2 linked regions of the Rattus norvegicus genome follow. The protein of the gene in region 1 interacts with the protein of each later gene in a biochemical or structural test. Links are inferred from orthologs where the notes say so. Each region holds a gene or a part of one and is shown in the gene's direction. Other genes may lie near its edges. The genes, in order: Gipc1 and Rgs19.

The links.
Region 2: the proteins of Gipc1 (region 1) and Rgs19 form a complex in vitro, tested with the Homo sapiens proteins (2 studies listed by BioGRID). The link is inferred for Rattus norvegicus from reciprocal best matches to the Homo sapiens genes GIPC1 and RGS19.

What each region holds. Positions count from the first base shown.
Region 1 is NC_086037.1:41,379,982-41,394,797, reverse strand, and holds Gipc1 (PDZ domain-containing protein GIPC1), read left to right. Parts: upstream 1-10,855; 5' UTR 10,856-10,893; coding exon 10,894-11,181; intron 11,182-11,872; coding exon 11,873-12,058; intron 12,059-12,152; coding exon 12,153-12,333; intron 12,334-12,970; coding exon 12,971-13,083; intron 13,084-13,815; coding exon 13,816-13,897; intron 13,898-13,998; coding exon 13,999-14,150; 3' UTR 14,151-14,673; downstream 14,674-14,816. UniProt on the Homo sapiens protein: May be involved in G protein-linked signaling.
Region 2 is NC_086021.1:189,180,826-189,195,905, reverse strand, and holds Rgs19 (regulator of G-protein signaling 19), read left to right. Parts: upstream 1-8,618; 5' UTR 8,619-8,834; intron 8,835-10,611; coding exon of another isoform or gene 10,612-10,687; coding exon 10,688-10,717; intron 10,718-10,855; coding exon 10,856-10,977; coding exon of another isoform or gene 10,978-10,994; intron 10,995-12,442; coding exon 12,443-12,517; intron 12,518-12,607; coding exon 12,608-12,842; exon of another isoform or gene 12,843-12,921; coding exon 12,922-13,110; 3' UTR 13,111-13,458; downstream 13,459-15,080. Other genes in the region: protein LKAAEAR1, read left to right, coding at 4,231-4,348, 4,453-4,847, 4,999-5,094, 5,170-5,229; Tcea2 (transcription elongation factor A protein 2), read right to left, coding at 14,446-14,454, 14,696-14,767. UniProt on the Homo sapiens protein: Inhibits signal transduction by increasing the GTPase activity of G protein alpha subunits thereby driving them into their inactive GDP-bound form. Binds to G-alpha subfamily 1 members, with the order G(i)a3 > G(i)a1 > G(o)a >> G(z)a/G(i)a2.

The sequences.
Region 1 (14,816 bases):
TGAGCTAAATCCCCAACCCCGGCTACAAATTCTTAAACCTGCTCTCACTGACACACTTCTTCCAGCAAAGCCACACCTCCTAAAGGCTCTACAACCTACCCACACAGCACTGCCAACCTGGGACCAAATATTCAAACACAGGAGCTGAGGGGGAACATTTCACATTCTGTTGGAGACTTGTCCTAAGGCTTTCATTCACTTGGGAATTTTGTGTGTCCAGACACTGAAGGTCCTTGTCCCCAATTGGTTTTTGATTCATGGTTAAAGATGCCGATGTCCAATGGCTGGGCACAGGGCAGGACCCTTAGAGTTGTGCAGATGAGGATGCAGAGAGGAACGGGACAGGATCACCATGACTCGGGGTAGAAGTATGGGATGCAGGAATGGCAGGAGAGAAACCCAAGCAGCCATGTGAGATTTCCGGTGGCCACTTCCCCAGTTGGGTCTGGGGTAGCAGGGGAAGGTTTAGGAATGTCCAGCTTTGAGGTGGCCAAAGGTAGCATTTTAAAAAATAAACTAGTGTGTGTATGTTTCATTTGCAGAATCAAAGATAGTTCTGAGGCAGGTGTGCCTGTGATTCTCTTCCCCCAAAGAAGAGGGGAAGGGAGGATTGTAGGAGTCAGAGAGGTCAAAGATATCACGAGAATACAGCCCACAGAATCAACTATGCACGACCTATAAAGCTTCATGGAAACTGAAATGACAAACAGACCCTGTGCGGGGCTGAGCTAGGTCTTCTGCTTATGCCTACGGTTGTGTAGCTTGGTGCTCTTGTAGGACTTTCAACAGTAGGCGTGGGGTTGTCTCTGACTCTTTTGCCTGCACTTGAGAACCTATCCCACAGGGTTGCCATGTTCAGCCGTGATATAAGGGTATATGCCACTCTTGTTGTATCTTATTAGGCCATGTTCAGTGGATGTCCCTGGGAGGCCAGCCCACCCCACCCCCTTTTTTAAAGGGAAACAGAGGAGGAGTTGATCTAGGGGAGATGGGAGGCGGTGGGGAGGTATTGGGAGGAGCGGAGGGAGAGGAAACTATGGTCAGGGTGTAATGTATGCGAGAAGAATAAAAGTTAAAAGAAAAAGGAATCACGGTTACATGTAGCAAAGCTGAAAGGACAGAACCATCGAAGCCCCCTGACTTCAGACATGAAGCTACAAGATTTGGAGCTTGTTCTGTTGGGTTTGGGTCTTGCTGTGGTCCAGTATTTCCCATAATGCCCCTTTCCTCCCCTTTGAAATGGTAATGCATATTCCATGCCATTGTATGTTGGAAGTACGAAATTCGCTATCTGATTTTTAGAGGGTTACAGTTAAGAGATTGTTTTGAGTCTCAAAAAAAGGCTTCAGACTTTTAAATTGTGCCAAGACTGTGATAGGCTGTAAGGACTTTTGAATTTGGACTAAATGCATTTTCATTATGATATGGCCACAAGCCTAAAGGATCCAGAGAATGGAATGTGGTGCTTAGAATAAGGATGACCCCTATAGTTTCATATATTTGAATATTTGGTTACTTCACTGCTGGGTGTGATGATACATACCTTTAGTCCTAGAACTCGGAAGGCAGAGGCAGGTGGATCACTATGATTTGGAGGCCAGCCTGGTCTAGAGAGTGAGTTCTAGGACAGCCAGAGAAACCCTATCCCAAAAAAGAAAAGAAGGTAGGGAGGGAGGGGGGAAGAAAGGAAAGAAAGAAACAAAGAAGAGAGAGAGAGAGAGAGAGAGAGAGAGAGAGAGAGACACACACACACACACAGAGAGAGAGAGAGAGAGAGAGAGAGAGAGAGAGAGAGAGAGAGAGAGAGAGAGATTAAAAAGTGATTTCAGTCTTCAGTTGGTGGAACTGTTTGGGAAGGCTTAAGGAGGTGTGCCCTGCCCTTACTGGAGAAGGTATGTCACTGGGGAAGGGCTTTGAGGTTTCAAAGATTCAAGTCATTTCCACACACACACACACACACACACACACACACACACACACACACACACGTTGTCTTCTCTCTTCTCTTCTTTCTTTCTGTCTCTTCTTCCCTCCCTCTCTTCCTCCCTCCCTTCCTCTCCCTCCCTCTTTCTCTGTATGTGTATCTGCGTGTTAAAAGGTAGGAACGTGGATGACAAAGTGTGTGCACAGTAAACTCAGAGTTAGTTGGAGATAAACCATTAAAGGGAAGCAGGAGACGTGGCTTGGAGGTAGATTGTCAGCATCCACCAGTGACAGTGGCTCAACCTTGAGCACTTGACCAGCATGCACAATACCCAATAGCCGATCCTCCAAGAGGAGGAGAAAGTGGGCCTTGATTCAACCTTAGAGCACCTAGAAGAACGAAAAAGAAGGTGGCGAAAAAGAGTCCATCCTCCCTGAGGGTAGAAACCTGGACTGGTTGGTCAGCTTTGATTCCGCACAGTACACTGACAAGTCGAGTGTTCTACTGTTCTGATATGTTCCATGGGGTCTTCTTACACGATTTTGCTTGCGGAAGTGCTCTGGAGCTCCCTGTCCATCTTCGTAGCCTTTGCGCACCCTGTATTTGACACTGTGTATACTCAGTCCTTGTGTCTGTAGAGACAGGACCGAGCCTGGTACCAGGCAGAGGCACTTAAATATTGAAAGACTGAATGAATGCGCGATCGCCTTTGTCTATTGTATAGAGTGGAAGAGGCAGAGACACGCGGGACCCTCCCTATTCACTGTGGTCCACCCCCTGGAATCAAAGCATCTTTCTGAGAGGGAAGCGAGGCTTGAGGTTGCCCTCCGGCCTCTCCCTGACCTCTCAAAAAGCGCGCTTTCCTGGGTACAGAGCTCGGTCCTCCAAACCCCGTCATCTGACTCTCACTGCCAGCTCCCCGCCCAGTCCACCCGCCCGCCCACCCGTGCAACCCCACAATGGTTCAGCCCTCCGTCATTTAGAGCGAGTAAGGTTGGACCACTGCTCGCACGATGGGGGGAGTCCGAGGTACGGCGGAGGGATCCCTCCAGAGCGTTCCGACCGGAGGCGCTCATTGGACATGAGTGTGCACGGCCGCCGCTGATTAGTCCGCTCGGGACGCCGGCCCCGCCCAAGTGCCGGAGGCCCAGGGAGAAGCCGGGCGGAGTTTCGAGAGGACCGAGCAGGGCGCACGGGGTGGCGGCGGCGCAGGTGAGTGTCCTCCGCCCGGGGGGCGGCCTCCGGGGCGTGGAGCCGTGCGGTGGGGTGGAGCTGGCCGCGTCGGGACCCCAAACACGGACCCCTCCCCGCTGCCCGGCCTCCGGTCTGCCCCTGCTCTCTGCTCCCTGGACGCTCCCTGTTGGTGGTGGGTCCGTGTTCCCGTCCGCTCCCAGGCCTTCTCCCAAAGCCGCGGGGACACGGAGACCACCCAGGTCCGGATAACAGTAACAACAGCTGTACTAGTTTGATGCCTCCCCTTCCCTAACCCGGACCAGCGTTTCCTCGTCCGGCACTTACGGTGCACAGCGTTGAATCAAAACACCCTCCTGGGAGGGGTTGTTAACTTGTTTTAGAAGTGAGGCACCAGTGCCAGAGAGGTGGAGTAATTTACCCAAGGTCACACAGCTCGTAAGTAGCTCATGGGGCTTAGGGACCCTTATCCTTTGAGTCCAGAAACTAGTTCCAGAGATCAGGTGTCCCTAGCCAGCCCCTGGACTCATCGCCCACTGCTGTCCTTATATTCACTAAGGAGCCGCACCTGCTTGCTGGGTTTTGCTTTTCTCCTGTCGCCCACGGGTCACTGGACAGCTTCCAAGTAGCCCTCGCGGTCCTTCTCTGAACTGAAGAGGGAAGGCCCAAACACCACGGGTCGCTTAACCCCGTTTCCTTTCCACCCACCCTGTCCACTCTTCTCTGTGAAGAGGAGTGACTGGAAGTATAGAGGCTTGGTGTCTGGGGAGACAGGCTACCGAGGCCAAGACCAGTCAAGCTGTGCATTCCTGCCCCTCTGCCCCCGCCCCGGAAACACTGGAGAGATGAAACCTTCAGGATCCGGTTTTTCAAGAATGAATCAGAGGCCTCCTGCCCTCCTCTCCGAAGCAATACTGTGCTGGGGGTTAGCAGGGAGGGACTACCGACCAGGGAGCAGGTGTGATGTCCCCTAAGCTAGGCGTTATCTGAGCCCCAGGAACAACCCCTTTCCCTGCTTCCTGCTCCCCCCACTTGGCTTTACTGTGACTGTAGGGTTGCTGAGTTTCAGGCCCTTTTTGGGATGAGAGTGCTGGACTCCGGAAATCCATCCAACCCACTTCCCTTCAGCAACTTGCAGACAGACTGGAGAGGTGCTCACACTTAGCTCTCAAGCGGTCATGTTGTGGGGGTTTGTTTGGGCCACAGGCAGTCGGGAATGTATGACATTACATTCTACAATTCAGCCCTCGTGGAACTCAAGGTTTCACAGGTTAGGCAGGCAGGTGCCTTGCATCTGAACTACACACCCATCACCTACCAATACTGAACAGCTATTGTGCCTGGCAGCATATTTCGCTTAGAGGACTCCAAATGCAGGACAGAATTTCCTGTATTCTAGTGGGGAATAGGCAACCAGTTAACGGGCAGCCATTGCAGATCCTCATAAGTGCTGTAGTGGCCTCAGCATCACTGGGCATAAGGGTCCTGGAACAGTATAGCTTTTGCAGTGCGGAGGACACACACACACACACACACACACACACACACACACCCACCCACCCCGGGCAGAGCAGTGTCCTATAGCTGACACAAGGAACAAAGCTAGAGGTGTGATTCACAGGAGTTTGCTGTGCCTAGTATACAGGACACTTTCTTTCTTCTTTCTTTCTTTCTTCTTTCTTTCTTTTTTTTTTTTTTTTTTTTTGAGTTTTCCCTCTATACTGTGGGATCCCTTTGTCAGGTCGGATTCTAAGGTAGACACTTGCTGGGACTTTTGATACCCAGCACCCACATGGTCCAAGCACACAAGCGGTGCACAGACACCGATAAATAACAGCCGGGAGGTTGGAAGATGAGAGCTGTCATCAGGGTAGCTTATAAATAAGTTCATAGGCCTATGTCCTGTAGACCATGGGAGCTGCTCCAGTGGGCTCCGGCAAGGAGGCTGCCTGGAGAATTCTGGAAAAGGCCTTGCCAGACATAGGAACTGGGGTGGTCCTGGGCCAGGGAAGGGAGGATGTAAGGTTCTGGGACCGTGGCTCAGCTGTACAGCCCCTGCCCAGAATTGGTCAGTGAGGAGTAGAGGGGTGCGTGGCTCAACAGTACACAGCTCCCCTGCCCCCACACCCAGAATCAGTGCAGGGTAGAGGAGGGAGTGTGGCTCAGCGGTAGAGTGCTCTGTGTGTGTGTGTGTGTGTGTGTGTGTGTGTGTGTGTGTGTGTGTGCGCGCGCGCATGCACGTGCAGGTGGACGGGCAGATAAAACGCGCTAGCTTCTGTTTCCATCACTTGCAAATAATGTTTCCAGAAGCGATGAGCTAAAGCACTGGACAGCCTGCATGCAGCATAGTCTTTGGGTCCCACAGGGACCCCGAGAAATGTGAATTCTGCCAATTTTTCAGATGCAGAGACTGGGGCCTCATGAAGTAAAGCAGCTTGGCCTTGTCTGTGCCGCTGTTAAGTGACAAAGGAGGGACTTGAATCCAGGCCACCATACCACACCTCAGGGTCTTCAGTTCTAACTTACGAGTCACTCATTTTCCTCAGAACAAAGCCATGCAGGGGCCATGGAGACCCAGGAGGTAGCTGACATGGTACATTACTTACTGGGCCAGCCGAATTTGACAGACCCATGTGGAAGTGCCAGGCATGGTGGCTTGCTGTTGGTACCCAGCTCTGGGGACATAAAGAGGACAACCCGTGGGGCTCATTGGCCAACTGGAGAACTCCGTCCCAGGAGAGACCCTGCTTCAAAAAGACAAAGTAGGGCTGGGGATAGGGGCTGTAAATTAGTGGTAGAGCCCTTGCCTGGCATATGGGAGACCCTGAGTTAAGCTCGCAGTATAAATAGAGTGGGCACACTGGAGAGATGGCTCAGCACAGTAAAGGCTCCTGCTGCCTAGCCTGGGACCTGAGTTCGATCCTTGGGACCCACATGGTAGAAGGAAAGAACTGATTCCTACAGTCTCTGCACACCCACTGTGGCAACACGTGCACACGGTGTGGTTTTTATTTTTGATTGGTTTTGAGACAGGGTCTCACTACATAGTTCTGGTTGTCCGAGAACTTGCTGTGTTAACCAGCCTAGTGTCAAAGTCACCATTTTCTTATGTGTGTGGATGTGTCACCTGCATGCATGTCTGCGCACTCAAGAGGGCATCAGATCCTCCCTGAAGCTGGAGTTAGAAGCAGTTATGATGAGGCCACGTAGATGCCGAGGTTTGAACCCAGGTCCTTTGGAAGAGTAGGCATTAACCATTGAACCATCTGGCCAGCTTCAGTAAAAATTTTAAGCAAAGTAGTGACTCTTGGAGACCGATACCCAAGGTTGACCTAATAACCTCCGAATGTGCCCACACATCCATGAATGAGCCCTGTAGGGGCTGGAGACATGGCCCAGCAGTTGACAATGCTTGCTGCTCTTCTAGAGGACCTGAGTTTCCCATCGCTTCTCGGCCTTTTGGCTAAGATCAAGTGTAGTTTCCTTCCCAGCACCCATGGTGGGCGGCCTCAGCTACTTCTAACTCTATATTTAGGGATCTAGCTATGGAGCTGTCTGGCCTTTGCAGCACCTACAGTCAGACACACACACACACACACACACACACACACACACACACACACACATCCAGCAGAATAATGTAAACAAAAGACTTAGGTTGATGAAAAAGAAGACGGATGGTCGTGCATGCCTGACCTACATGAGTGAGTCCCAGAACAGCGTACACAGAGAAACCCTGTCTCAAAAACCAAACAAAAGGAATTAACAGGCAATTCACTAAAAAGCCAATCAAGAGCATTAAAAATGTACAAAAAGGTGTTGGGTACCATTGGTTATCCCAAAAGCCTGGAGAATTCAGCAGTGCCTCCCTGTCAGGCACTGTCAAACAGCGCCCCCTGCTGGCTACTGTGCTGGGAGCAGGATGAAGGTCACAAGCGGGGCGTGTGATCTGGGGAAATGGCTACACAGGGCACTCATTCGTCCACCAGTGCTGTGTCTGTGGCTGCCAGCCAGTGTTCCACATAATGAGGGGTAGGCACGAGTGACACAGGTCTCCCTCAGCAGCAGGCAAAGACATGAAATACCCATCCCAGCCGTAGGGTGGGGGAGAGAGCCGGGCAGCAGAGCGAGCAGCCACTACCTAGACTTGGGCAGCTCGCTCTGGCCTGACCAACTGAGAAGCATGTTAGAGGCCCCAGTGGCTGCAGGGAGGGAGCTAAGGAAGAGCAGGCTGAAGGGGCATAAAGGACAGTGGGATGCCTGGGGCGATCAGAGCAGAGAAGGAAGTGACCAGAGTGTTTATAGGGTCATTCTGACTAGCTGACTTGACAGGAAACTGGGGGGTAAAAGGAAGCCTGAAGACACAGAGGCCACTTGTAGTGTAGGCGAGTGGATGGGAGTAGAGCGAGCGCCAGAGTCAGAAGAATGCATGGCTTGAGTAAGGAACCCTCGTGGAGGAAGTGATCCAGCCAACGGGGTGCCCTTCTACCTGGGACGGCCCCTCAGGCTCCGCAAAGCACTGGTCGTTCCTAGTACCAGGATGTTGAGCTTTATATGGAAGCTGAGGAGGAGGATCCGGAAGTCAGGGCAAGCCTGTGCTACTTAGTGTGACTGCCTCAAAATAATGAAGAGATGACTTTAACCAGGTGTGGGGTACACCTGTGTTCCCAGCACTCAGGAGGATGAGGCAGGGGGATTACAAGTTCAAGGTCAACCTTGGCTATACAGCAAGCCAGCCTGGGCTGTATGGGGGGTGGGGTGAGGAGAAGGTGAAACATCTCTGAAGATAGGAGTCAAGGCCAAGGAACTTCCTCAGGGAATTGCAAATGAGGCACCCTTGTGACTTGTGACTTTTTGGTTGGTTGGTTGGTCGGTTGGTTTTTTGCTTTGGACAAGGGACTCGAAAATGAAATCAGGGTATGGGTGTGGTCCATGAAGTACAGGAGCCCCGGTCCCATCCCTGCACTACAAGAGAAGAAAAGTGCCACCTTCTCTCAACGCCCTTTCTCTTCCCTGCCTCTCTCCCTCCTTCCCTCTACTCCAACCACACCTTTCAAAGATGTGCTATGTGCTTCGTATGTAGTGAAGCCAGGGAGGGGGATTAAACACACCTTCAACCCCAGTGCTCGGGAGGCAGAGGTAGGAGGATCTCTGTGAGTCCGAGGCCAGCCTGGTCTACCGAGTAAGTTCCAGGACAGCCAGGGCTGCACAGAGAAACCCTGTCCTTAAAAACTAATTAATTATAAATCAGCGCATGGATATAAATAGTAAGTATCGCCCCCTAAAAATGTTCTTTGCTAGAGAGGGGGAGAGAGAAAAGAAATAAAAGGAGCGGAGAAGTGGCTCAGACAGGCGCTGCTGCTTCAGGGCGAGGACCAGGCTGATCCAGGCACCTGCATTGCCAGGGGCGGGGGGGGGGGGGGCGCTGCCAGACTAGCCAAAGGCGGGGGCGGGGGGGGCGGGGTCATCCATCCAGAGGCCCTTCTCTAAGGACCGAGGTGGAGAGCGATTGGGGACGACATTCCCTTCCTTTGGCATCTGTGAGCACAGGAGCACACACTCACACACAGTGGGCGTGTACCACACGCACACTAAATGCGAATAAACAAAGTGGTCCACACTCTTGGTGGGTGCTGGAGGCTGGGGACAGGATTTCTCTCTGTAGCGCTGGCTGGCTTGGAACTAGAGAAGGCCAGGTGGGCCTTGACAGTACAGCTCTGCCTCCTCTACCTTCCAAGTACTGAGATTTGCTGTGGCAAGCAGCAGCTGAGAGCTTACACTTTAGTCAGAGGCATCAAGCAGAGACAGACAGACTGACTGATTGACTGACCGGGCCTGGAGTGAGTGTTTGACACCTCAAGACCCACTGTCTAATGGCAGGAACCAGGCATTCAAATATGAGGCTTGAGGCACTCTCTTTCAGACCACCACAACTTCAGTTCCTAAAGACCCATGCAGCCCAACATTGCCACAGGCCAGCCATTGCTTGTCTAGGGGCAGTACTGCTCTGAGGATTTCACCCCGGTAACTAAGTTTCCATGAGGATGCATCGCCCGCCTCTTCCTGCCACAACTCATTGGCAGAACCAGTCATCTGCCAGCCCTGTCCCAAGGGGCGTGGCAGGGACCATGCACTCTGTGCTGTGAGGGAGAGACTCAGAAGAGTTTTGTTTCCTGTGTGTGTGGTATATGTGCGCGTCAGATGTGTGTGGAAGCTGGCTGGAGGATAGCCTCAGGTCTCATGCCTCGGGAGCTGTCCACTTTGGGGTGCTGTTTACTACTGCATTTGCTTGTGTACATACGTGTTTGTTTGTGTGTAAGTACACATAGCCCAGTGCACATGTAAAGGTCAGACGACAGCTTGCAAGAGTGCGCACTCTCCCTTCATTGGGCCCAGGTGATTAAACTCAGGCCTGCAGGGGTGATGGCCATCTTGCCAGCCCTCCACCTTGCGTTTTGAGACAGGATTTCTCACTGGCCTGAGCTCACTAGGTAGGCTAGGTGGGCTTTGAGCCTTGGGGGTCCTTCTCTCTCCAGCTCTGTAAGATGCTCTTACAAGGGCATCTTTCCTCATGGTTTTTTGTTTGTTTGTTTGTTTGTTTTTTTCTTTTACATAAACCAGACCCAAACTTGGGTTTTGCACAGAGCATTAATGACTGCAACTGATAGAAAATGAAAAGACACTGTGTCTGGTGGTTTCCATCTGCTCCAACACTGCAAGATGAACAGAGGTAGAGTTGGTGAGTTCTAGGCCAGCCTGGACGACAGAGTGAGAGCCTTCTCAGAGAAATGGAAAGTAAAGGGCCATCCAGCATTTTATCTTCCCTTCAGTTGTCTGCTCCAGTGGGTGTGGTCAGGGCAGGATGCACCAACGGCCTCATGCCTCATCCAGAAGGAGAATTGAACGAGGTCACAGAGCAGCGGGTGTGGGGTTGTAATGGGTATCTCTGTGGGGATTATTACTGTGCAGTGCGAGGCTTCATTCTGATGCTGGGATGAGACCGGGTCCTCATTAGCACGTGCTCCACCACTGAGCTGCACCCCAGCATCGGAGCTATCTGGAGTCACCTCTCTTCGTTCACATCAGCTCTGGGTGCCCAGATTGAATCCACTGTATACAGAAAATACTTGGGTGAGGCAGATGTCCTGCTATTTCCCTGTAATCCCATCCACTCTGCAGTCTGAAGCAGGAGGATTGCAAGTTCAAGGACAGCTGAGCAACTGAGAGATAACTGCCTCACACTAAAAAGTAAGAGGCAGTCTAGACTTGTAGCTTGGGTCCACATGCACAAGGCCAAAATGGCCGATTCGGAGAGAGCCTTGTACCTATGCTGACCATGGACAGAATCTTGTGTTGTTACTCTTCAGACAATACAGCGGAAGAAGAGTTTGCATAGCTTTAAATGTGTACAGCAGATTCCACTGTACGGGAGGAGCTGCAGCTCTGTGGACAAGCGCCAGCCAAGCAGGGGCGATGAAAGCCTCAGCAGAACGCAAACGCAACACAACGTTATATAGGCCGCAATGTGCTGGAGGTGTCCTGGCTCCCTGTGCTTGGGAGCCTGAGTCACGTGATCAGACACGGTGGGGTTCGGTGGTGGAGCACTTGACTAGCACCAGGCCCCTGGGTTAAGAAACATTGCTTCGCAAAATAGAACCATGTTGGTTGATGTCGATACCATGTGGTGGTGATGGATGGCACCCAAGGCTGGTACTCAGAGAGTGAAGCCCGATTCCCTTTCGCAGGTCTCCCGGCCAAGTCCCCACTTCTGGCTGCTCATGCCACTGGGACTGGGGCGAAGGAAAAAAGCACCACCTCTGGTGGAAAATGAGGAGGCGGAGCCAAGCCGGAGTGGGCTGGGCGTCGGGGAGCCCGGGCCCCTGGGTGGAAGTGGAGCAGGGGAATCCCAGATGGGTTTGCCCCCACCTCCTGCTTCCCTCCGGCCTCGCCTCGTGTTCCATACCCAGCTGGCCCACGGCAGCCCCACGGGCCGCATCGAGGGCTTCACTAATGTCAAGGAGCTGTACGGCAAGATCGCTGAGGCCTTCCGACTACCGGCTGCTGAGGTACCAGTGGGACCACGGTCCCTTAAGAGCAAGCCACAGGCCTGGGCATGTATTCCTGTGAGCTGGGGCTCGTGTTCCTTGCTGGCCAGCAGCCCCTGAACCTAGGAGGCGTGGCTACAGGAGGATACTGAGTTCCTATGAGGCCTTGAGAGACTTGTACCCTAGTAGGTATGGGGGGGGTTTCCCAACGGGCCTTACGAGGCTCGTAATCTAGTAAATTGTGGGTCTGCAGATACTGATTTCCCATCAGGTCTGAAGTAGCCTGTGTCCTGGAGGATGACAGCCACAGGTGGCAGCTGGGTTTCCAAGGCATTGGGAAGCTTGTGCCCCAAATACTGTGGGACCTCAAGAGGGGGAGGGAGGGTGTTAGGAGCAGCTTCTATTTCTCCAGGGTGCCCTGGAGGCATGACTCCAAGCTAGAAGCTGAGAAGCCACTGGGAGGGCAACAGTGGGACTGAGATTCAAGTGGAGATGGGTAGGAAGGCTGGGTGGGAGTCTAGACCCCCTTCACCCCTCAGTAAGTATCGAGTGATCTCTGTATGTCAAGCTAGCTCTTGAGCTTTTACCAGGACAGAAATCCTGCTCATAGCATTTGATGTGCCAGTGGACCTCTCCTTGGCTTTGGGTGTTACCAGTCCCTGGGATAGGGGACCCAGGGAGGAAGGATGAGCATCTTGCCCCACCTCTGCAGGTGATGTTCTGTACCCTCAACACCCATAAAGTGGATATGGACAAGCTGCTGGGGGGCCAGATCGGGCTGGAGGACTTCATCTTTGCCCATGTCAAGGGGCAGCGCAAAGAGGTGGAAGTATTCAAGTCTGAGGATGCTCTGGGGCTCACCATCACCGACAACGGGGCCGGCTATGCCTTCATTAAGGTGCCCGGGTGGGTGGCACACCCTTAGTCAGTGGCCAGGGTCTTTAATGGGACCTAGAGTGGAGCTTCCAGGGTTGATGCCTGCCCCTCCACAGCGCATCAAGGAAGGCAGTGTGATTGACCACATCCAGCTCATCAGCGTGGGTGACATGATTGAAGCCATCAACGGGCAGAGCCTGCTGGGCTGTCGGCATTATGAGGTTGCCAGGCTCCTCAAAGAGCTGCCCCGAGGCCGCACCTTCACCCTCAAACTCACCGAACCTCGGAAGGCGTTTGGTGAGCCATTCTTGCAACCTGGACCACCCACCGGGCTGACCTTGAGCTCTTAAGAAATACAGATTGTAGTCCTGGGAACCACCAGCAGGTGGCACTCAAGCCTGCAGTGCAGAGTGGGGGCAGCCCCACCCTACCCTAGAACTGAGTGCTGGCTGACAGCCCAGCCAGAAGGAAGTCGCCCCCACACCCGACTTCCAGGAGCCATTAGCCCAGCCGAGTGCCCCCAACCCTGGCCAGCCCCCTCAGCCTGGAGAAGTGAGGCTTGGCTGCCTTGTATGGCTCCTGTGCCCGGCGCCCCCCCCCCCCCCCCGTTTCTACCTGGCTTCACTAACTCTCAGGAATGGGCCTGAGGCACCCCTGATGTGGGTAGAAAGGGCTTATCTGAGACTCAGCAGTTACACTCACCCTTCTCAACCCTCACTCCTTCAAATAGAAGCTACCTTCCATTCTCTCTCCAGCTGCTTTTATGTCTGGCCCCTAGCTGCCCCTCACCATCCATGCAAAGTCCTGCCTTGCTGGAACCCAGTCCCTACCCAAGGAGCCTGCAGAACTTTGAAGGTGGTGGGAGGTGGTTGTGTGAAGCCTGCGTACTGTGTTACCGTGGGCTGATTTTCCCCACTACCTTTGCCTTCTACAGATATGATCAGCCAGCGTTCATCAGGTGGTCACCCTGGCTCAGGCCCACAACTGGGCACTGGCCGAGGGACCCTCCGGCTCCGATCCCGGGGCCCTGCCACAGTGGAGGATCTGGTGAGTGAGCCCCCCGGGCCGGTGACACCATTCTAATTATGTGAAAGGCTCAGGACACCTCTCTCTGCCTAAGCCTACTCTTACCAGCTCTGGGACCTACGGTGGTCCATCGGGCAGCCTGGGGTCTCCTCCCTGTCCAGTAGGTTCAGTGACTTCTTGTCAGAGCAGACATTAGCGATGTAAACAAAAAGGGCTGCCAGCACGGAATTTCTGGCAGGAGGATTTCACATTCGCTCAAACCGTAAGACCTTGTCACCAGGTTCTTATATGAAAATAGATGAAAGGCAGCCCAGTGTAGATACGTACCCATAATCCTCTCCAGGCTACTGGATAGGAGTTAAGTGTTCAAAGCCAGTTTGGGCAACTTAGAATATGTCTGGGTATGAGAATGGTAATTTCTGGATGTTGGGACTGAAGAGATGGGCTTAGCAGTTTATAGGAGGTGTGGCTCTTGCAGACCACACAGGTCAGTTCCAAGTGCCCATGACGGGTGGCCATCTCTTAACTCCAGTCCAGAGGTCCAGTGTTCTCTTCTGACCTCCACAGACACCAGGCAGACACATAGGACACACAGATATGTGCAGACAAAAGGATCCTCTACATTAAATAAGTAACAGCGGCAGCCACACCAGTGGGTGCATGCAGCTCACCACTGGAGCTGATGCCTGCATGCTGTCCCCAGCACTGACATCTGTTGACATTACTGTACTGTCTTGTCCCCACCCTCTACAGCCGTCAGCTTTTGAGGAAAAGGCCATTGAAAAGGTGGATGACTTGCTAGAGAGCTACATGGGGATCAGAGACACAGAGCTGGGTGAGTGGGGCACCCGTGCCTGGAAGGTGGGAGCAGGCTTCCAGGTCCCACCCAGGCGGAGTTGAGCTACATCGTGCCTCCGTCTTTCTCCTCCCTGACAGCTGCCACGATGGTGGAGCTGGGGAAAGACAAAAGGAACCCAGACGAACTGGCAGAAGCTCTGGATGAACGGCTCGGTGACTTCGCATTCCCAGATGAATTCGTCTTTGATGTCTGGGGAGCCATCGGGGATGCCAAGGTTGGCCGCTACTAAGACTGGGACTGAACCTGGACCTTGAGATAACCTGGCTTTGCCCAGCTGGGGTTTCCAGAAACCACAGCCAAGACCTGGGCTGACAGCTTAGGCTGTAACTCCGCAGCCTGGGGATGGCACAGGCTGCAAGTGCCCTGTGGTCCAGGCCCCGCTCCAATCAGTACCGCCACGGTGCCCAGCCTGGTTGGGGTCCCCGGCCAACCCCTGCCGGGTTCCCCACCTACCTCAATAGAGTAAGCGCATGGGGAGGGACCAACACACTAGGCAGCCAGCCACCTCTATCCCCAACACTTCCCACTATCAGCTGGCAACTGCCCCTTCTGTCCCCCTGGCCTCAGCTCTCTTCGGGGTCATGACCTCCCTACTTTACTTTTTTTGCTTTGTTTTTTTCAAGACAAAGTCACTATGTAGCTCTGGCTGTCCTGGAACTCCTTCTGTAAACCAGGCTGGCCTTGAACTCACAGAGATCCACCTGCATCTGCATTCACAGTGCTGGGAATAAAGGTGTGCATCACCACTCCCAGTTCTTCCTGCCTCCCTTCAGCTTCTCCCACCTGACAGGAGCTCCTCAGTTGGGTTCTGTTACCTCCCATTTGAGTGGAGGTTGTTAACCCTGGTTCCTTCTCCCTTAGTCAGTGGTGGGGGGTGGGGGTGAAGGAGGCAGTG
Region 2 (15,080 bases), on another chromosome or scaffold:
CCCAAATACTTAAATAGTTATTAAACATTTACGTTTTGGGTTTTTTTTAGCTGTCTATTCAAATCATCTGCCCATGTTGACAGTCTTGTTTCTTTAGCATTTAATGTCTGTCTTTTTTTTTGTTGTTGTTGTTGTTGTTGTTGTTGTTGTTGTTGTTGTTGTTTTGGTTTGGTTTGGTTTGGTTTGGTTTTTCTTTTTTTGTTTTCAGTTTTTTTTCAACACAGGGTTTCACTGTCCTGAAACTCACTCTGTAGCCCAGTCTTGCCTTGAACTCATATAGATCTGCCTGCCTCTGCTGGGATTAAAGATGTGCACCACCACTGCCCAGTAACTCTTTATAAATTCTAGATATCAGCCACTTGATTCTCTTCAATTCTGTGAGCTGTTTACTCTGATTGCTTTTCCTTTTCTGTACAGAAACTTTTTGTTTTCATGCAGTCTCATCTGTTGGTATCTAAGGTTAGTTCTCATTTGTTAAATAGTCGACTTTCTCCCCAGTGTATGTTTTTGCCTCCTTTGTCAAAAATTAAGTGGGAACATGTCTTAGTTAGGGTCTTACTGCTGTGAACAGACACCGTGACAAGGCAACTCTTATAAGGACAACATTTAATTGGGGATAGCTCACAGGTTCAGAGGTTCAGTCCAGTATCATCAATGTAGGAGCAGGGTAGCATCCAGGCAGGCATAGTGTAGGCAAAGCTGAGCGTCCAACATCTTCATCTGAAGGCTGCTAGTGGGAGACTCACTTCCAGGCAGCTAGGGTGAGGGTCTTAAGCCCACACCAACAGTGACACACCTACTCCAACAAGGCCACACCTCTGAATAGTGCCACCCCTGGGTCCAGCATATACAAACCATCACAACACACCTATCTCATTTTATTTCAGGTCCTCTATTCTATTCAATTGACTTGCCCGCCTAGTTTTCATGCCAGTGCCAGGAGTATGTTTGCAATATTAATTCTATCAGTCCAGAAGCGTGGAATGTCTTTCCGTGATCTAGTATCTTTTGTGATTTCCCCTTTTTGTTATCGTTTTTTAATGTTTATTTCTGTGTATGGTTGCTTTGCTTGCATATATGTCTTTGCACCACATGCATGTATTACATGCCAACGCCAGAAGAGGTTGTCAGAGACCTTGGAAATGAGTTCCATGTGGTTGCTAAGAATTGAACCAAGGTCCTTCAGAAGAGCTGTCCATGCTGATCCTAGTTAGGGTTTTACCGCTGTGAACAGACACCATGACCAAGGCAACTCTTGTAAGGACAACATTTAATTGGGGCTGGCTTACAGGTTCAGAGGTTCAGTCCATTATCATCAAGGCAGGAGCAGGGCAGCATCCAGGCAGGCATGGTGCAGAAGAAGCTGAGAGTTCTACATCTTCATCTGAAGGCCATTAAGAAAAGACTGGCTTCCAGGCATCTAGGAGAAGGGTCTTAAAGCCCACACCCACAGTGACACACCTACTCCAACAAGACCACACCTCCTAACAGTATCGCTCCCTGGGCCAAGCATATAAAACCATCACAATGTCCTTAATCACTGAGTCAGTTCTCACTTTTTCAATATCTGGAGGTTTTTGTTGTAGAGGTCTTTCTCTGCTTTGGCTAGATACATTCCTAAATACTTAACTTTTAGAGTTATTTTGAATGAAATATTTCTCCTGATTTCTTTCTCTGAGAATACACTGGTGATATAAATACTTTGTTTTGTTTTTAATTATTTTATGAGTGAGTATTTTGCCTACATGTATCCTTGTGCATTCCTCCCATTCCATGGAAGCCAAAAGAGGGTGTCAGATCCCCAGGGGCTGGAGTCATAAATGGGTATAAAGTGCCATGCTGGTACTGGGAATTGAATCCAGGTCCCAGGTTCCTTTGGAAGAGAGGCCAGTGCTCTTAATTACTAAGCCATTTCTTTAGCCCCAACTGTTTTTTGTTTCTTTTTTATTTTATGAATTTTGTATCCTGCAACTTTATTGTAAGTGCTCATTACATCCAGTAGTTTTCCAGTAGATTAAGTAGGACCTTTTAAGTAAAGAATTGTGCCATCTGGCTGAACCTAGTCCTCCCCGCACATATGTAGCAGATGTACAGCGTGGTCTTCCTTTGAGTCCCCAGTTGGAGTCAGGGGCTGTCCCGAAAGCTGTTGCCTGTATGTGGAATATGTTCTTCTAGCTGGGCTGCCTTGTCTGGCCTCAGAGGAAGAGGAAGCACCCAGCCTCCAAGAGACCCAGGGTGTCCCCACCACCTCAGAGGAGGAGAGGGGGACGGGGGAAGGATTGTGGGAGGGGGTGACTGGGAGGGGGCAGTGAGTGGAAAGTAAAGTGAATAAGCAAAACATAAATAAGTTTTTTAAAGTATTTCCTTTAAAAAATGTGCCAACTGCAAAGATAGTTTGATTTCTTACTTTCCTATTTTTATCCCCTTTACCCCTTCCTCTTGTCTAATTACTTTAGCTAAGACTCTGAGCACTAAATCAAATAAGAGAGGGGGAGTGGCCGGGCAGCAGTAGCTCATACCTTTAATCCTAGCTCTCAGGAGGAAGAGGCAAGAAGAGCTCTGAGTTCCAGGCCAGCCAGAGCTACACAGAGAAACCCTGACTCAAAAAAAAAAAAAAAAAAAAAAAAAGGAAAAGGAAAAGGAAAGAAGAAAAGAAAGAGGGATTGGATAGCCATGTGTCTTTCCTGATTTTTAAGGAAATGCTTTTTCATATGTAGAATTTGGCCAATATGTGTATGTATGTAAACAGATGTACTTATGGCTATGGAACAATGTATAAAAAGGAAAACAAGAAAGGCTAAATATTAGAGACTGAAGAACTGAATATAAGTAATGGACACAAGTTATAAAAGAAGTTAATTGTTTTCCTAGCTCTAACTCTGTTGTAAAATTTTCAGGCTTGGTGGTGGATACATGCATAAAAATATATTCGATATTGAAAGAGTAAAATCCAATGTGAAGCTCCAGCTTCTATTTCAAACAGCTATTCCAACTGTAGAGAAGTTCACTGAGTGTATAGATGTGGGGTCTTGTTAATTTTGGCATGTGATTTTTTTTATTTGTAAGTGTTTTTTTAATAATAAAAGTAGATTTAAAAATTAAATTAGCTGGGCAGTGGTGGTGCACACCTTTAATGTCAGCACTTGGGAGGCAGAGGCAGGCGGATCACTGAGTTTAAGGCCAGCTTGGTCTACAGATCGATTTCCAGGACAGCCAAAGCTACACAGAGAAACCCTATCAATCAATCAATAAATAAATATTAAACTACGGTAGTTATTTTTTTAAATCACTAAATCAATGATTGCGCCATAGATTATAGAACTTTAAGGCCTGCCATCCAAGTTTAGAGGAAGTTAGGGTTTGGTAAACCTCTAGACCCCTGAGATCCCAAACTTGCTCCAGAGTCGATGAAAGGAGGTACTGAGTTCCTACAGGGCTTAAGGTGGGCCTTAGTCACAAAGGTATTTTGTAGGAGCTCTGCCCAGAAAGCTAGCTCCAAAGAGCCTCTACAGCCAGAACCCAGCCTCCAAGACTGGGACAGTGAATCTGAGACACAGGGTCACTTCGAAGGAAATGTGGGAGAGGACCTGAGGCAGGTTACAACACACACACACACAACACACATGCGACTCTAATTTCTGCATCTTATGGGCGTACCCCATTGTGCTGGGGAGCGGGCGGGGCTCCAGGTTGCTAGGCAACATGGTCAACAAACCCAAAGATTGAAAACCGAGGTGAGTCTTCCCACTGAAAGGGAAGAAAGTATGAGGTTGTGAGGACCTGGGTTGGGGAGGCCTAGATGTTGAGCTGTTAGGTGGGCAAGGGGTTAGACAAATTGAGGGAAGAGCATTCAACTGTGTCTCTACTTCTCACCCACAGAAAGTCAGGAGCTTCTGCTAGGATGAAAATGGTTGCTAGGGTTGGTTTTCTTTCCCTTTCTGAGCCATTCCTCTTTTGTCTCTTCTTCCCTGGGTTCTGCTCCCCACGTCTTTGCCATAAGGAGATAGGCCAGAAGAACAAAGGCTTAGCTTCCCTGTGAACATATGTACACTCAGATCCAAACACACATATACCTACAACACCATTCACATACACACTCAAACACAAGGTGGGGTCCCCTGTCCAAGGTATCATGAAGGGCCATGTCCTTACCCCTACCCCAACCAAAGACTAGGGATCAGGGAACAGGATCAAACCAGCCTCTGATGGTCCAGAGTTAGGGGACGCTGAATGGCTTATGACCATAGTGATGCGAGCTGTGGAGCAACAATGGCATGTAGGACAATTGAGTATACTACTGAAACTGGAGAGGATCAGAAAGTCATGGCCTACTGCAGATATACACAGGGTCAGCTACCAGTTTAGGAGTTAGGTGGCTACAGGAAGTCCCATAGAAACAGAACTGGAGCCAGTGTTCCCCTAAGTGGCTGGACATCCCCTTTTCTTCCACAGACTGGAGCATGCCGACCCCAGGAGTAAAGGGCGCACGAGAGCAGGCCAAAAAGAGTGCACCTGTAGCTGGAGCTGGTGAGAAGCGTAAGAAGGGCCCATGGACTACAGAGCCTCCGAAGCCAGGCTGGGCACTGACTCAGGAGAAGCTGGCAGCCATGTCCTCCACAGTACGCCGACGCCACCTGCTCTTCAGTGACCTACTTGACATGGTTGAAGTAGGCTCCATGTTTCCACGCGAGTCGGTGGAGTTATCTTACTGCATGCCCGACCCTCGCATCTGGACACAGGCATTAGAGCTACCATCTGAGCGTCAAAATCGGCTTCTGGGCATCCTTAAGGCCGCGGAAGCCCGGGGCCGAATCCGTGCCCTGCGGTTGCGCTACACCCGAATGCGGGTAGGTAGAAGGGAGAGGACCCAGTACGCGTCTTCTAAAGAGGGCTCACCCTGCAGGGGGAGGGAGGGTATTTTTCTAGGGCTCTCGCTCGCTCGCAGGGTTGCTTAGTAAACTTGGTTCCCAGGCAGAAGAAATCTCTCTCCTGATCCAGAAGCAAAGATGCGCGCGCGCCGCCATCCGACTGGAACTGTTCCTACCACCCCAACTGAAGCCCACGAAGATCCCTGATCCTTTGGACCGACAAGAGGTGCGGGGAGGCCCCAAGACTGGTGGGAGGGTCCCGTGCCTCGCCACACACTAGCCCCAGCCCCTCTCTCTGCAGCGGAGACGTGTTGAGACAATCCTGGAAGAGGAGGTAGATGGCAACATCTTCCCGCGATGACCGATGACCGCGACCTTGGCGTTCAAAGACCCCAAGTTACAGCGGCTCTCCACTCTTATATAAAGTTCTCTTCTGAGGGTTCTCAGGTCTTTCCCCTCTTTTTCTCCTGGACCCCCACATGGATGCTGCCTCTCCTACGGCCACAGCCAAAGAAGTAAGGAGATGGCGGGTGGACACTCCTATCTCCCAACAGCCTGCAACTGGTGCCCTTCAGGACCATGGATGTGGGAGGCTTCTAGTGTGGAAAAGGATAGGGATGAGCCTACTTAGACACCAGCACCCCCAGAAATCGGGGCTGTCTCCAAAGTTAGGGTCATTCCATCTAAGGACTAGGGTGGTGTTCTGGGACGGGGAAATGACTGCAAAGCCAAAACAGGCCTTTGGAGAGTTCAGTTGTGCCCAGAGGACCAACAGGTTGTAAATGGGATGTTCACTCCAAGGTCTCTGGATGGTGGGACAGAAAAGTCACCCATAGCCTCCCTTTCATCAGAAACAGCCTCCTGGGCCCAGTCATGCACCAAACACGGAGCACAGGAAGGAAGCCACCCATCCCATTCTGACCACTGAACTCTTAAAAGTCCCTGGTTTCTGGGCAGCTCTTTTTCCTCCTCTCCACAGCACTGGCTCTTTGCAGAACCTGTGGCCTCTTGGCTCCCTGTCCTTGTCCTCCTTCCAGTCCTTCCCCATCAGGCTGCACAGAGGTGGACGCTGCAGGGAGAAAGATAGTTCCCTGCTCTTGCATGGGGGCTCCCACTGGTTCTGCATGAAATAGAGAACAGAATGGAGGAAGAAGAGATCAAAACTGTGGTCCAGAAGGATCTTACTTGCTGATGGCTAGTTCCCAGGGTTCTGTTTCCGCAGCTGGTCTTCTCCCCCTGCACATGACCCTTCTTACTCTCTGGCCTGTTGCTGCTCTAGGCCTTGATCCAAGCCCAGACTGCAGCATTCACAAAACAGCAGCAGCTCTCAGGAGGGGGGCAGATTTCTGACAGTGGGGAAGATGACAGAGGCAGGGAAGTGGTAGGTTTGGACGTGGGTATGGACAAGGAAAAGGACACAGTCTCTTCATCCAGGAATGATGATCTCTCTCACACACAGATGTAGATCTCTAATAACAACTACACTACAGGACAGCCAATGCTGAGCTCCTCTGGCCAAGCTCTAGACCCTAGAATTTTGTCTCTTAAGAGATTCGCTAAGTGAAAATTTCCATCTACTTTGTAAAGTTGTGCCATTGTTCCATCACCTTTCTGACCCTGCATTTCTTCCTGGGGGTTCCGCAGTGTCCAAAACAGTGAGTAATCCACATAAGTACTTCAGAACAGAGGGCTGAGAACAAAGGCAAACATCAGAAGGCCAGCACTCCAATGGCACAAGAGCTCCACACCACGTGCCAGACCAACTTAAGAGTGCCACTTGCTCTGCGCACCAGTGAGGGAACTGGGTTTACAGATGCAGCTAGGGAAGTTGTCATAGGATCCCTCTGTCTGAAGAAAATCCTACAGGAACACAAAGTCTGTGGCCCATGCACAATCAGGTGGGGCTTGTGAGGAGCTGGGGTCTCTGCTCTCAAGCAGAGTAGATTGCGTTCCAGTTCCAATCCCAATGACATCACTTACTCAGTGCTCCTGGTCTCCTTCCTTGACTTGGAGGCATTTTCTGTGCTTAGGGAAAGGTGCTAATTGTGTGGAGGGCAGATGTAAGGTGGCAGAGAACAAGGAGATAGGTGTGTAGAAGGAAATAAGAGGAAAGTGTACTGACTTCTACCCACAGTCATGCCCGCACCAAACACTGCAAAATCAGTTTCTTTTTTTGGCTTCCATCAGATACTCATCCATTTCTATTGGGCCTCCATGTTCTGACCCATGTCCACCTCTCAGAAATATTACTTAACTAAAGTAACTGTTCCTGTTTACATAGGCTTCTTAGCCTCTACCTTTGGAAGCCATTAGCTTGGCAGCCAAAGGGTTCTGTGGTTAACTCATAAAGCCCCACACCCCTCCCTCCAGAGCCTGGTAATCTCTCACCCATTGTTCTCTCTTCATCCTGGACCCCTGAGCATCATGGCAACATCCTGCCTCCTCACCTCTCACCCCATCCCATTGTTGCCTGTCTCCCACTCTAGTCCACTGCAGTCATTTCAGTTACTCTGCCTCTGCCCCGCTGCCTGAAGAGCTCATGTGAAGCCTCTCTGACTTAGTATGTATGATTTTAGTATGTGAACACAAACAACTTGTGTGACTGAACATCATTTTGTTTGCAAGACACCAACACCTGAACTGGTCAGGCTGTGTGCCCAGTGCTAAGAAGAACAAGAACCATATGGCCCAACGGACCACACTCTACAGACCAAGTGTAAAGCATGCTGGGATAATGAACTAATTCAATTTTGTACCCAGTGACAAAGGATCTGAAGAGTTGACCAAAGAGCAAGGCTATTTGTGGTAAAGGTTATCTTGGAGCAGTTTGAGAGTTCAGAAGGGACTCAACCAGGTCCCAGAAACATTCGGGGTGATTTGATGGAAGAACCTGCTTTCATGGTGCCCACACGCTGCAGTTCCTGAACCTCCCTTTTGGGGGTTGCGGGGTGGGGGGGGATTTGAATGCTGAGTGACAGACAGACTGTTAATGCTACATTACAGACCAGACTCAGAAAGGCGAAGAGTCAGCCAGACCGGGCAGTACCACGGGCCAGTCCTTCTCAAAGGCCTCTTCTAACCCAGGCGAGCCAAGTAGCACACAGGGCTCAGCTCTGGTGCCCAACATTGCACTACCACAAAATTGCTGGGAAAACTCAGCTAACTAGAACGGAGCGCCGGCTCAATCCACTGTCTCTGAACGACTCACCCCTCAGGGTCATCATGCCACGCTACCGCAGTACGACACGCCAGCCGCGGGTGGGGCACCGGAGCGGGCGCGGGGCGGGGCACTGCGGGCGAGCGAGCAGGCGCTGGGGCTCGAGGAAGTCCCGGCCCCTCTCTTTGGGGAAGTACCGCGGAGGCGCCTGCGCACTGCGCCTGCGCCCCCTCCCCGGCGACCAGCGGGACTTCGGAGCGCGCGGGTGGCGTGACTCGGGGACGCGGCGGTGAGTGCAGCGCTGGACCGTGGACGGGCCCCGGCGATATAGATGCCGGCTCTGTTCCCGGACTTCAGTGACCGGTCCACGTGGACCTGGGTCGCAGTAGGACCGGAGCCCACCCCTTGCGCGTGGGGGAGGGAGAGCCGCAGCAAGGTTCCCCTTTTCTCCAGCTCAGAGCGTTGAGAAGTGATTGCTCAAAGGTGGGGGCCGGAAGAACCCAGGTTTCCGTGTCTCCTGCCCGCTAGCCTGGTGGGGAGGGGCCAGACGAGACACCCGATCTGCCACCTTAACCACCCTTCGAGTTGGGTCCGCTAGTCAGTTGGCCTGGCGAGCCTTAGGGGTGAATGCCGCATCCCCGGCCCCATCGGAGCGGAACTCCGTGAGCCTTTCTACCTCGCGAGTGCCCGGGAGTGCGTCTTGCTGTCTGACTTAAATCCTCGCTGCTTTAGAGCACGCCCCTTCGGCAGCCAGGGTGGGGCCCAAACCGAACCTGGCCCTCCCGCCCCCATCTGCCTTTCGGTCGCTGGTGAGTTGGGCGCCATGGTGAATTCCTTAAGAGAGGGGTGGGGGCGTCAGAGACTGCAAGAGGGACTGCGAAGTGACCAACCCTCCAGACGACCCCATCGGCAAAAAAGCAGGAACTGGGTGGGGGCCTACCATTCCACAGGTTAGCCATGGTGAGAGGCCTGGCCTGCCATGGAGGTATAGGTAGGACAATGACAGTGTTGAACGGAAATGAGAACGGACCCCCTGTCAGCGCCCCCGCCAAAGGTTATGACTTTTTTTTCTGGAATTTATCTTTTTTTTTTTTTTTTTTTTTTTTGGTCTGGGTGGGCTTGGACATTCTTTTTGCTTCTGTGGAGCAACACCGACAGTCATTCACCAGGGAGCTTCTGTCCCCAGAGAGCAAATTTACTGAATCTGGCCTCTTAGCATAGACTTGGGAGGCCAATGCCTGGGAGGCTTGGGGAGGAAAGGAGCCCTTCAATAGCTGGATGTGGGACTGGACAACCCTGATTCAGACTCTAGGCTTTCCTTGCCCAGAAATGAAGCAGTAGTGAAGAGCACCCTGAAGGACGTGGGTGGTCCCAGCTGACCTTTGATGGGTGCAAGGAGCTAGGACCAGAGCCTGTACCAGTGCACCCACTGGACCCCAGCATCCAGGCCCCATGTCCAGTCAGCTGATTGGAGATGAACCCTATGAGGGATGGTCTGCAGGGTGACAGAATGATGGTTTTGGAAAGCATGGAGACCTCAGGCTACTACACCCCTTTTCCCTACTTGCTGTGTCCTGATTTACTTGCTTGGAGACTTGGGAACCCACCATCTCAGAAAGTGTCAGGTGGTGAAGCTGCCCAGAATATAGTGATCAGACAGAAACAGGATTAAAAGGCCTCTGCTGGATGAAGGACCACAGGAGGGTAAATTTCATTAAGAAAATGTGAGCCCCAGACAGATGAGAGGAAGCAGGGAGAGGGCTTAAAGCCTGAGTGGCCTCCACCTGGACAGAAGCAGCGGGCACAGGCTGGGGAGAGAGGAGGCACTCAAAGCTCCACCAAGGTGCTGATTAGATGCTTCTGTTTGGGGACACTGGAATTTGAAGTCAGCTTTCGGTGGCCTAAGGGATTCCTAGAACCCCCTGTGAAGGTATGGTCCAACATCAAAACTGATAAACCATAAGAAAATCCACCGAAGAGCCCAAGGTTCTTGCTAAGCAGTTTATCCTCCTACATTGCCACACTAGCTTCTGTATCCTAGGGAGATAGATGGAAACCAGGGTAAAAGTGGGATTATCTGAGGCAGCTGAAAACCAAAGAACCTTGTTCCTGAGTAAACACCTCTCATCAGTGCGTAGCCCATTCCTCACACTTCCAGAAGTCTTGTTCTGAGTCCCAGTCAGGTACTCAATGCTTCAAGCCTAGCACCTTACAGTCATCTGGGTAGCATCTCTACCCATCTCCCTAGAGGAAGGGAGTGGAGGAAGGGAGTAGTCAATATCTGACACCCTACATACCAACTTGTAGCTCCAGTCCCCTTGGGAGGGGCTAGGAGCCGGAAATCAAGAAAGAGGAACCCAAGTTTCCGGCTTCTCAGGGACTGAACAGATAGATAGGGGTGTCTGTGGAAAGCCCAGCTGCAGTAGCCTGTCACTGACTCAGGAATCTCCACATGGTATAAGTAATCAGGCTTAGGGTAAAAGGCTGGGGCAGAACTCTGACCAAGCCCTGAGGTGGGTGCACAGGTTACAAGGTTGGTGGGCCAGCATCACAGGCTCTCAGTCAGAATTCCAACCTTCTTCTCAGATCTGCCAGGCTCCTATGCTGCACTGAGAGTCCAGAGCTGGCACCACAGAATCTGGGCAACCCCCTCCACTCACCCATGCCCACCCCACATGAGGCTGAGAAACAGGTAGGCACTCCTCGCCTCTTATTGGGTCCCTGGACACCTGGGGTTCAAGATATAACCTTGGGGACATAGGCAGATGGGCAGAGACAGAAGGTCCAGTGAATTCTAGAGCGGAGGTTGAGGCAGCCCCCTCTTCCTCAGCACACAGGGCCAGAAGAGGCAGACAGGCCTCCCTCGATGTCCAGCCATGATGCAGCCCCCTCAGGACCTCCCAGTCGAAATCCCTGCTGCTTGTGCTGGTGCTGCTGCTGTAGCTGTTCCTGGTATGTGGACCTTGGAGGTACAGCTTGCCCTGGGAAGACCTCAGGGCATTTGGGAAGGGGTACATGGCTCATGGGGAGCAAAACCAGAGTATGTAGGCCTGGGAGTACATGGTTCATGAAACACAGAACAGGGGTATGTAGTCCTGGGAGCAGCTCATATAGAAGGACAGAAGCATGTGAAGCTGTGATGGGGTTGTCATTTAGGGCTTATTCCTGGTCCTGGTCCTTAGACCCACCAAAGGCTTCCAAGAAACCATTGAGCCCCTGCCACAATATCACCCTGCCCACAGACTGCTAGACCTTGTTGGCTGGTGGGAATACCCAGATCCTAGGGGTCTTTCTATGGCTCTTAAATGTTGTATTTGCCTGAATATGTCTGTGTGCTGCAAATATACCTGGTGCCTGAAGAGCCAGACGGAGGTGTTGGAACTGAAACTACAAACAGTTGAGAGCGAATATGTGAGTCCTGAGAATCAAACCAAGGACCTATGGAAGATCAGCAAATGCTCTTAAATACTGAGCAATCTCTCCAGCCCTTTTTACACCTAGTGTGCTGGGGACGGGGGTGGTAATATTATATTGCAAGAGCAAGCAAGTGGCAGTCATATGGTGTCCATGCACTCACCATATACCTGTGTATACCACTGAGAGCTGCCCAGATCCTAGACTGTGTGCAGTAGGGACACATTTAGATAAGGAACAGCTGGCCCTAGGCAGAAAGGTATTTGAGGTTTGGGGATGTCTGATGGCAGGAATATAGAAGATGGTAGAAATTTTCTACCTTAACAGCAATCTGGCCCTACAAAGACTGAGGGACTCAAAGTGGGATCTGTTGAACAGCAAACCACCCAGAACTGTGTATAGGCAAGATACAAGGAATAAAATGTGAATAGGCAGGGCTCATTGGAAGCTTGAGCCATGTTGTTGCTGAGAAGCCAGGCCTAGTGGGAACTGCATTCTCTCCATAACTTGGGAATGAGATGTACATTGTGCCTGCTGAACAAAGACTGACAGGAAGAAGCTTCCCTTAGAAGCAGGGTTCAGGATCCAGGACCAGACAGGTATAGTCACACTAGAGAGGCTCTTAGCCTACATCAGCCAATGAGTCATATTACTATGTCCGCAGTGTGGATTTTTCAGTGGCCTCAGGAATGAGCTGGAACTAGGCTGAGAAGTATGGTTCTATCTACCCAAAGAGAGGAAGGGGTACCAGGAACCTTAAGAGTCCAACTGCTGACCAGTATAGAGAGCACAGTGGTAACCAGAACAGCAATCTGCATAAGCCACTTCAGTGGGGGTGGGGGACGGGACAAGAGGATGTGAAGAAGGCTCACTGTAGGAGCTTCCTTCCTTCCTGGTAACAGATTTACTGGTGCTAGGTACCCACATACCAAAGCATACATAGTCACAGTGGTGTGTGGAGAACTCAACTGCAAAGGGCACTGCCACTTTACTTTGCCACTAGGAACCAAGAACGGCAACGAGCTTGGCAGGTTTCCCGGGAAAGCAAGCTGCAACCCCTCCCCAGCTGTGAAGTCTGGTGAGTATAGCCACCATTGTGTAGGCATGCATGTATGTGTACTTGTGTGCATGTCTCAGGCCTGACATGGTCTGGCCCTAATGTCTGCAGCACTCCACCAAGCCCTGAGGAAGTACAGAGCTGGGCACAGTCCTTTGACAAGTTGATGCATAGCCCCACGGGCCGCAGTGTATTCCGGGCATTCCTGCGCACAGAATACAGTGAGGAGAACATGCTCTTCTGGCTGGCTTGTGAGGAGTTGAAAACAGAGGCTGACCGACATGTGGTGGATGAGAAGGCGCGACTTATCTATGAGGACTACGTGTCCATCCTGTCCCCCAAGGAGGTGGGCCAGATGCAGGGATGAGTGGGGGTGACCTGGGAAGGCACTGCCCCTCCCCCTGACCTTGGTGCCTGCCACACAGGTCAGCCTGGACTCCCGTGTTCGAGAAGGCATCAATAGGAAGATGCAAGAACCATCACCACACACATTCGACGACGCACAGCTGCAGATCTACACCCTCATGCACCGGGACTCCTACCCTCGCTTCCTCACCTCCCCCACCTACCGCTCTCTGTTACTCCAGGGGGCCCCACAGTCCTCTGAGGCCTAGGTCATTTGTCACACAGATGTTCTCCCATGGGCAGCCTAGGGGTGGCCCTGCTCCACTTGGCTGAAATAGACTGCAATGCCATGTTCTGCTCTGTCCTAGCCTGCTCCTACTGGGGGTTCTCCTACATGGTGCCTCAGACCACCACCCTCCAGTCGTGTGCCCAGGAGATGTTCTCATGGAGAACATCCTGTATAGCAACAAGTTTGTAGCAGGAGAACGTTAATTCCTCAGAAGCAGATATAGAACCTCAGAGTCAGACTCAAATGAAGAGCCCATTTATATTTTATATATTAACTTTAAAGTTGTCCATACTGTATGTTTTATCAAAAGAAAAAAAGAGACCTTTCACATTTGTGTGTATTCCTCTACATGCCAAAAACATGATATAGTATTCTGTGTATTTTAAAAACAGAAGCCTCTGTTTATCCCACAGTTGGAGGAGGAGGAGGTTGGAGAAAAGGACTATCTATCCAGATTCTACCTTGTGTGCTGTCCCATAGCATTGGCCTTAGTAGGTGACTATTGTGGGCCCTGTCCAGGGTCTGGCTCTAGAAACTGGCCTCAACTCTACAGTGGTCAGCACCCAACAAAGGCTTGAGATGCAACTGGAGATGATGTAAAACCTAAAACCCTTGTGTACTTGATGAAATGCCTTTCCAGAGGCTGGTGGGGACAAAGCGGATGGTATGGTCTTTCCAAAGAAGCTAGGCACAGCATCTTAATCTTACCGGTCCAATAAAGCAACACACTCGCTACTTTGTTCTTCCAAGTTGCTGGAAGTTTCAGCAGTTTGAAGCTAGAATTAACTTCAGCTCAGAGACCATCCTCCACCATGGGTAAGGGGAGTGAAGGACAAAGTAAAACATCCTGAAAGGATACCAGGTCCTCAGGCTGCCATACCTAGTGAGAACGGGTGAGCACTGGGCAAGTTCCTGCACCAGCCCACACAGCCAGCATGGTGGTGCACATACAAGCATTAGCAATATCCTAGAATCATACAAACAAGGAATGTCTCCAACATTAGACAAGCTCTTGTCTATAGTGTTGCCCTACCACAGCTTAGCTCAAGTGTTGTCGGAGCCCAGAGAGGAAAGATCTACAGCGGTGGACGGATAGGACCCAGCTGAAGCCTGTGTTTAGCCCATTAGGAGCAAGGCCAGAGGAAGGCAAAAAAGAAACATTTAATGATGAGGGGCAAAGGGCAGGCAGGTGCACACCAGGCAGGCTGGAACGGGGCATGCCACCTGCAGGGTATCTCCAGAGAAGCTGTGTCCACCAAGAGCGTTGCAGGAGGTTCAGGGTTAGCCATGGCCAGGGCTACATCAGTACAAGGACTCAGCAGAACTGCAGGAAGGCAGGAAAATGTCTAGCCAAGGCCCCACATGACCCCCTGGGTAGAAGTGGGTTAGGCTCCATCCCAGACTCCCAGGCAGCTAGGAGTCCCCAGGACTCCTAGCCAGGAGGAGACTCCCAGCCTGCCTCCTCCCCACCCCCACTCCCACCCCATCTCACCTCCCACCCCACCCCCGCAGTTCCTACTTCAGGCCCAATATGCATTGAGACAGGACTGGAGGCAAACACCTACCTTCCATCGATTCCCACACTCATTGCAGACAACATAGGTGGTCATGGGCTCATCAGAGCTACGGGTCTGCACCTGTAGGGTGGGTGGCTGAATCCCTGGTTTTGCTGCCCGGATCTGGGCAGTACTGGTCTTATACCCGCTGATCTCTATTGATGATTTGAAACTTCCCAGTGAACTACCCCAACCTTCTAGAACTAGACCTCTGGAGGAGGTAGGTTGTCATGACAGGCCTTTGTGGCCCTGAACAACTGTGCTCAGTTGAGTCTAGAATATTGGTTAAGTGCAGGATTCCCAACAGGAGGGTCTAGAAAGTAAAAGGATCAGAGATGCCTTGGGGACTCAACAGCAAACATCCCACAGGGCCTGAGCTGTGGGGACTGAGCTG